Callithrix jacchus: one gene and its partner. The protein of the gene in region 1 interacts with the protein of each later gene in a pairwise test. Links are inferred from orthologs where the notes say so. Each region holds a gene or a part of one and is shown in the gene's direction. Other genes may lie near its edges.

Region 1 (3,805 bases):
ATAAAAAATACTTATCTATCATACTGTAATGAATGGCATTCTTAACTGACTCATTAATAGATTTGTAGTTCTCAGAGGTCTGAGACCACACCTTCTTCAAGATTATGTTCCCAGAGCATAGCCCTGGATATTACATCCAGGCATGTAAAAGTTGAATTTCACCAAAGTGTACTAGGAATTCAATAAGTGTTTGTTGAATGAATAGAAGAATAATGTTTATTGCAGGCCTATGGTATGAAGTATTGTGTGATATAATAGACAAGGTATTCCTGGCTGCTACCATCTAAGAGATCACAATCTAGTTGAGTAACCAGGAGATATATAGGTAAAACTCCCTCCATTGTAAGTTGGAGATTTTGTATTTTACTTCTTTCTAACACGTGTGTTGGTTTCAGGTACATGACTCAGGGCTTGGACATGTCTGGTGTTTTTATGGAAATGGTGAAGGCCAGTGCCACTGTAGATATTGTCCAGAAGAAGTTGGTTTATCTGTACATGTGCACATATGCTCCCCTAAAACCAGATCTGGCTCTCCTGGCCATCAATACACTGTGCAAAGATTGCTCAGACCCCAATCCAATGGTGCGAGGGCTGGCGTTACGGAGCATGTGCAGCCTCAGGTGAGTACCCTCTTCTGTGTATGGTCTTCAATGGCTGCCTCAGCAGGGCAGATTTTTAAAGAGCACAATTTATTTGAGCTCCTTAATACTGGGGAAAACACTATTGTATGCTGAACTCAGATTTTCAGCTGTTGCTTTGGCCTGATAACCTGTATCATACAATTTTATTAGAGGGAGTTTTTCATTCTTACCCTCAATAAAATAGTCCTCAGTTTTGGTTAAATATTTCTAAACAATTACATGTGTATCTTTTTTGCTGCCTGTGCAGCAGCATTCAAAATGAAAAGTCAAATTAGAAAAAAAAAAAAGAAAAGTCAAATTAGGTTGGGTATGGTGGCTTATGCCTGTAGTCTCAGCACTTCGGGAGACTCAGGCAGGAAGATTTCTTGAGCCCAGGAATTCGAGACCAGCCTGGGCAAGATGGTGAGACCCTGTATCTACAAAAAATTTAAAAATTAAATGGGCATGGTGACACACACCTGTAGTCTCAGCTACTTGGAAGGCTTAGGCAGGAGGATGGCTTGAGCCCAGGAATTCAAGGCAGCAGTGAGCTATGATCAGGCCACTGTACTCCAGCCTGGGTGACAAAGTGAGACCCCCATCTCTAACAAAAACAAGAAAAAAACAGAAAAGTCAAATTATGGCTTTTTAAACTTGATAGAGATTCTCTGCAATTCTTCATGATCTGATAGAGGCAGCATCTGCTAAACCCTCTGTTAAGTGAACAGGGCTGATATATGTCAAAATTAGTATTTCAGGATCTGGCTAACTCCAGAATGTGTTGCTTAGGATGCCTGGTGTGCAGGAGTATATACAACAGCCTATTCTCAATGGTCTGCGTGATAAGGCTTCATATGTCAGGAGAGTGGCAGTCCTTGGATGTGCCAAGATGCATAATCTTCATGGAGACTCTGAAGTGGGTAGGTTCCGTGTAATCCATCATGGCCAATGTGCCTCTCTTACGTATAACTTTATAAAAGAATATGTGGCTTTGGTTGAAAATAATAATGTGGCCCTAGTTCTGTATATATCTCTTTAAGTGTGATGCAGGGCTTGGTATCTTCTGGGGCTCTGGTGAGATCTGATATTAGCTGCTTAGAACAGTCTGGACATGGCAGTTTTTTTGCCTTATACTTTAGTATGGCTTTTGTCATTTTTGTAGCAGAGAAGTTCAATTTTGTCTGCCTGGAGCTATTACTCTGGCTCTATCCCTGTTACTCTGAAGCTTTTCTTCTTTATCTGAAGAAGAAAATACACTGTGTTCTTTATCTTTGTTCTTTTTTATAGATGGTGCCCTTGTTAATGAATTATACAGTTTGCTGCGTGACCAGGATCCAATTGTGGTTGTGAACTGCTTGAGGTCTCTAGAGGAAATTCTGAAACAGGAAGGAGGCATTGTCATCAATAAGCCCATTGCCCACCATCTCTTAAATCGGTTTGGATGCCTCAGTGCTCTTTTTATTATGAGATCTGCGTCCTTGTGGGATCTTGTTAATTTACTGAAGTATTGAACAACTTATGTGTGGTAGAAAAGAAAGTTAACTATTATTAACTCCCTTGCATTTCACTGAGAGAACTTTTATTTGCCTTAGTTTCCCTTATTGATACAGGGAAATAGAAATATCCTGTGGGAATAGGTTCTACTCTTCTCTAGTCATTATATCCCTCAAACTAAGCCATTTATAGCATCTTAAAATGTAGAGAACCTGGACCTAGTATATGTAGTGTATGCTGATCATGTCTTTGGTCTTAGATGAGTGTGCATGTGTACTCATCTTGGAATTTTAAGCCTATTCTGTGGAAACTTTAAATAGTACATGAAAAGAATGATTTGATTATGGTACAGCCTATTTTTTTTGTTTGTTTGTTTGTTTGTTTTTTGAGATAGAGTCTTGCTCTGTAGCCCAGGCTGGAGTGCAATGGCATGATCTCAGCTCACTCAACCTCCGCCTCCTGGGTTCAAGCGATTCTCCTGCCTCAGCCTCCCAAGTAGCTGGGACTATAGGTACCTGCTACTACACCCAGCTAATTTTTCTGTTTTTAGTAGAGACCAGGTTTCACCATGTTGGTCAGGCTGGTCTCGAATTCCTGACCTTAGGTGATCCGCGTGCCTCAGTCTCCTGAAGTGCTGGGATTACAGGCATGAGCCACTGCGCCCGGCCCTCACAGCCTATTTTTAAGAATTCTCCCTTTGTTATGGTGAACAACCAACTGCTCATATGGCATTGGCATGGAGATGGTCCTAGTTTTGTTGCTAAAATAGCTCTTGTTTCATTTTTTTGATAGAATGTCAAAATTGGACCAATGGGGCCAGGCTGAAGTGTTGAACTTCCTGCTACGCTACCAACCCCGCAGTGAGGAAGAACTATTTGACATTCTCAATCTGTTGGACAGTTTTCTCAAGAGTGGAAGCCCAGGTGTGGTGATGGGAGCCACCAAACTTTTTCTGATCTTGGCAAAAAAGTTTCCCCACGTCCAAACTGATGTGCTTGTGCGGGTCAAGGGGCCTTTGCTAGCTGCCTGTTCTTCAGAGAGCCGTGAGCTCTGTTTTGTTGCTCTTTGTCATGTACGCCAGATCTTGCATAGTTTGCCAGGTCACTTTAGCAGCCACTACAAAAAGTTTTTTTGCTCCTACTCGGAGCCCCACTACATCAAACTACAGAAAGTGGAGGTGCTGTGTGAGCTGGTGAACGATGAAAATGTGCAGCAGGTGCTAGAGGAGCTCCGAGGGTATTGCACGGATGTGTCTGCTGACTTTGCACAGGCTGCCATCTTTGCCATAGGTAGGTGTCTGCTGCTTTTCCTTCTAGAGAACCGGGACCAGTCAGCTAGAAAGCTGTGGTTAGAGGAACCATAGAGGGCAAAGGGCATAAATCTTGCTTCAGAAGCAAAATGCTATGCACTAAATAATTGGATCAGTAACTGCAAACAGGGGAAAGAGATTTTTTTTTTTTTTGGTCAAGACTGCTGTTGCCGTATCTTTCAGGATGGCGAATACAGGTAACTCAAACTACAACACTTAAAATTTTTGTTGTCTTCTATCCAAAACGCTTTCCTGTATTTCATCTTACCACAGTCTCACGACAGTCAGGAAAAGTAGATAAATGTCGTCAACTTCATTTTAAAGACGAAGAAACTCAGGCACAAAAACAGTTATCAGATTGCCAAAAGGGCATGTAGTTTTA
Region 2 (4,378 bases), on another chromosome or scaffold:
AGAGACGGGGTCTCTGTATGTTGCCCAGGCTGGTCTCAAACTTCTAGGCTGAAGCAATTCAGTGACCTCAGCCTCCCAAAATGGTAGGACTACGGGTGTAAGCCACTATACCCAGCAAAAGTGCAACTTCTGATGAGTCACCCACCCCTGCATCCAAGGCTGCTGGGAGCAGGCAGGAATGAAGGCTGTGGGGCTTTTATTCAAGTACCTTTCTCTGGCCCAAATCTCTGGATTGACAACTCCCGGTAAACAGAGTCAGCACTGGCGTCACAGCCCACCCAGACACACTGAGTTGGGGCGCCCGAGGTGGTACCCAGTGAGGCTGACACTTAACGAAGCAGCCTCAGAATGACTTAAAGCCCCACGGTCAGGAAGCCCATCGTGCCAGTTGTGAGGGTGGCAGGGGTGCCCGGCAGGGCAGGTTGAAGGAATCCACCACCGCAGCTGCACAGGGGCTGCGAGTGCCGGGGAGGTGAAGACCCAGAAGGTGCTGGGTACTTGCTGGGAGTCCTGTATCGGGTCGATGCTGGTATGTCACCCCTCGGCGGCAGTGCCAACACGAAAACTTAACGCGCTTGACAAGGCGCCTTCGTGCACCCATCCCCCATCCTTTCTGAGATTGGTGCCAGTCCCGCTTTACAAACATGCAGGCACAAACCCGGGACCGCCGAGATTTCGCGGGCTTGTCAGTGGCTCGGTGGTTTGGTCAGCCGGGGTCTAAAGCACGCAGCGGCGGCTCAAACTCTGAACCACGGGGAAGCAAAGGACGGCCGGGGCCCGCCGGCTCTTGAAGGAGAAGGGCTCGGAGGGGCCCGCGCCCACCTACCGCGGCGGCGAAGCAGCTCCGCAGGGCCTGGAACTCCCGCGCGCAGAGGTCCTTGCTCAGGCGGCCGCCCGGGGCCGTAGAAGCCTGCACGCACCTGCCGTACGCCGCGGCCTGCGGAGTGGACGCGCGTGGGTAGTGGGGTTCCCCTGTCCCCGTCACAGCCCTTCCTCCCCATCACTGCCCCGCTCGGCCCTTCCTGCCCCGCAGCACTGGCCTGCCCAGGGCTCCTCACCTCGGCCCCGCAGGCAGCCAACCGCTCAGGGAAGGCGCGGAGGCGGCTTCGCACCCGGCCCCACACCGCTCCGTTAGCCGACATGAGCCTCTGTTCCCAGAGCCCCTGGACACCGCCATATTAGGTCCGTCCTCTTCCGGTGTCAAACAGCTTGATAGGTCGGCGCTTCCGCCCATCATCTTTCCTGAGCTTTTTAATTGCCGTCTCCTGGCCTTGAGCCCCCTGCAATTGGCTTTTGTCCTTGTCTGTCTCTGCCATGGGACTTCGGATTGGCCTAGACTCAAATTATTTACAAAGCCGACCTCAGGGCCCGTCCCACTACGAGGGACTGGGCAGCGGAGTAGGATGCGCGCGGTGATTGGAGGGCTCGGGCCTGGCGGAAGCGGGGCGGACCGGGAAGTGACCTGCATTATGGCGGCAGTGCCGCCGCTGCGGGACCGCCTGAGCTTTCTGCACCGGGTGAGTGGGAGCGGCCCCCCGCCCCCGGCTCCGACCCCACGTGTCCTCTCCGTCGCCGCTCGCCCCGGGCCGGAGCCGTTGACCTTGCGTCCCCGCCCTGGGTAGCCGCTCCTGGCCCCTTCGCTGCGCTGTCCCCGGGCCTCCCAAGCCGGACCCGCCGAGCGCGAGGGCGATGGGCACAGGCAGACCCTGGGGGAGAGAATAGGCCTCGGCCAGCATTCAGTGGCCTCCGACAGACAGGAAGGAGCGGCGGACCCGGTGGACGTGGAGCCGCTCCACGCTGCCGGCGCCCGGTGGGCTGACGGTGGCATTTCAGAGGAGGGCTCCGGTCCTGGAGAGGCACCCCTGGGTTGCCGAGAACACAGACATCTCGAAGGGACAGAGAAGGACGCACCGTTGTAAGCCCCTCTTAGTAAACTCTCTAAGAAGGAGAGGTCGGGGCCAGTCCCCAGGTGTCGTCCAGAGCAAACTGTCTTCTTTTGTCAGCCCTGAGCTTTCCTAGGGTGGACCTCAGAGGGGGCTGGGTAGTCCCGGGCGCGGCCTTGGGCTGCCAGAAGCCATGCCAGGGTTGGTCAAGCTCTCCGTGCAGGGTTTGGACAGAGTCGTTCTGTGCTGCGTTCTGCAGTCGTCAGCCGTCACCTGCAAACCTCTCAGCTCCCCTTAGGGCTTGATGGGCAGAATGTCAGTGATGTGTCCACAGCCTCGGGAAACACTTAAGGTCCACGTTTTTTTGTGTTGTCACTAGATCTCGGCCCTCACGAGTCAGTCCCATGCTTGTCCTCTTAAATATGCTTGAACTCCTCTCCTCTGTTCTGTTGCTGAATAATGCATGAATGAGCGTTTCCAATTTTCACCCCATAAACCATACGTCTTCCTGCCAGTAAGGAAGCATAAAAGAAAAAAGGACTTCTGCATTAAGCGAGCAACATAAAACACATGGCGTCACTCGGTTCTCAGGATCGAGGGAGCCAGTCAGGCCAAGGGGCTCTGTCACTCTGCCAATCCAGGCTCTAGGGAGCGGGAGCCATCCATAGTCCCCTGCGTGGAAAAGGGGCTTGCCTGAGCCTTGTTTGGCTTTGCTAGTCAGTAGGTAGATAGAAGTACCTTCAAATAGCCTTACATGCTGAGAAGTGCAAGGAGGCTGGGGGCTGTGTCCTATCTTATCCCAAGTGGCGCAGCCCCTCCCTGGAGAACCACCATTGATTTGCCTCTTCTCAGAGGCTGTTCGTCCCTGACAGTTGAGAGAGGACCCTGCTGCAGGCTCCCTGTGGCCCATAGCACCATTCTCGTCCCTTCCCAGTCCTTTCTCCGGCCATGTCAACAGCAAGAAGTGGGCCGTTTCCATCCCCTTTGGGAGCTGCGGACTCACCGCTGTGGGAAATGGCGCCTCATCACTGCAGAGGCTCTTGTTCCCTTTCAGCTCCCGATTCTCCTGAAGGGGACATCGGATGATGACGTCCCATGTCCTGGCTACCTGTTTGAAGAGATTGCTAGTATCCTTCCTCGACGTCCCTGTGTGGGGCAAGAGCGGATAGCAGGGTCCTGGTGTGGGGCAAAGGGTCACTGGGGGTTCTGCTGTCCCTAGAGGGATCTGCAGCTCCTTTATCATTGGAACCAGGCACCGGTGGGGTCTGAAGGCTGTGATACTGATGGCTCAGGAGAGCCTGGAAGCCCCAGCGCTCCTGATGGCAGGGCCTGCAGCAGGTGCCTCCAGGCACGTCTCCTTTCCCTTTATCATCTCCCTTCCCTAACCCGAGTGTGCTGCAGAAATCTCCCATGAGTCTCTGGGCAGCAGCCAGTGCCTGGTGGAGTACCTCCTGACCCGCCTGCACAGCAGCTCTGGCCATGGGAAGCTCAAGGTGAGCCCCTGGGTGGTCAAGGGTCAGGCCCGAGCCCCTGCCCACGGTGCTGAGGCTGGAGGAGCAGATGAGTGGTGTAGGATGGCTGGTGGCTCTGTGCCCTTGGGGCGCCCCTGGCCCTTCCCTGGTGTCTGGCCTGCCCAGCACCGCTGACCGCCCCACTCCCCAGGTGCTGAAGATCCTGCTCTATCTGTGCAGCCACGGGTCCTCCTCCTTCCTGCTCATCCTCAAACGCAACTCCACCTTCATCCAGGAAGCTGCAGGTACTGGGGCCATGCATGCTCTCCAGAAGAGCCAGGGCCGTGGACAGTGGGGGAGGGTGGTGAATCCTCCAAGCTTGAGAAGAAAGACATCAGCTAGAGCCCTCACCCCGGCCTGGTCCTGATCGCCACCCCACCTTGCTGATCCTGGTGGATCCCTGGCCTCTCCACCTGCGGCCCACCCTCACCCCAGCTGGCTGGCTCGGCCTCCCCCATGCACCCTGCCCCTCCCTCTGCTGCGTCCTGTGTGCCTGCCATGCATCCCTGGGCCTTCGGCTGCATCTGTCCCTGCACTTGCTACCTGGGTGCCATTGTTCGTTTCTGTGTGCCCCCAGGGTCTTCCCCCCCCCCGTCCCAGCACCCACATGTAGCAGGCTCCATGCCTATTCACATGTCCTCCCTGAGCCATGGGTTCTCCTCCTAGGGCTGCTCCTCAGAGCCCAAGACAGAGGTAGGGTAGGGCTGGGAGGCCGGTCTGTCCAGGCAGCAGGTGGGTCTGGGAGAGTCATCCCCCAGGCGGGGGGCAGTGCTGTGTGCCTCTGCCTAATGAGTATTTATGGGGGCTAGGCATGATATCTTCCGTGGGGAGGAGGGAGGCTTGGCTCCAGGTGGCCTTGGGGCGCACCGTGCTTAGATCCCCTGCCCCCTGCCACCCCAAAGGGAATTCCGGGGGGGGAGACTGAGTCTCTCTTGTGCCACTGCTTGTTTGTGGAAAACCTCAGCATGTTCCATCTGCTGGGCT

The links.
Region 2: the proteins of AP4B1 (region 1) and TEPSIN interact in binary tests that used the Homo sapiens proteins (3 or more experiments, as listed by UniProt). The link is inferred for Callithrix jacchus from reciprocal best matches to the Homo sapiens genes AP4B1 and TEPSIN.

Annotation. Positions count from the first base shown.
Region 1 is NC_133508.1:151,876,313-151,880,117, reverse strand, and holds part of AP4B1 (AP-4 complex subunit beta-1), read left to right. Parts: intron 1-395; coding exon 396-620; intron 621-1,409; coding exon 1,410-1,540; intron 1,541-1,907; coding exon 1,908-2,055; intron 2,056-2,906; coding exon 2,907-3,403; intron 3,404-3,805.
Region 2 is NC_133506.1:136,913,234-136,917,611, reverse strand, and holds the start of TEPSIN (AP-4 complex accessory subunit tepsin), read left to right. Parts: upstream 1-1,447; 5' UTR 1,448-1,469; coding exon 1,470-1,517; intron 1,518-2,817; coding exon 2,818-3,010; intron 3,011-3,284; coding exon 3,285-3,376; intron 3,377-3,545; coding exon 3,546-3,639; intron 3,640-4,378. Other genes in the region: NDUFAF8 (NADH dehydrogenase [ubiquinone] 1 alpha subcomplex assembly factor 8), read right to left, coding at 707-937, 1,059-1,142. UniProt on the Homo sapiens protein: Associates with the adapter-like complex 4 (AP-4) and may therefore play a role in vesicular trafficking of proteins at the trans-Golgi network.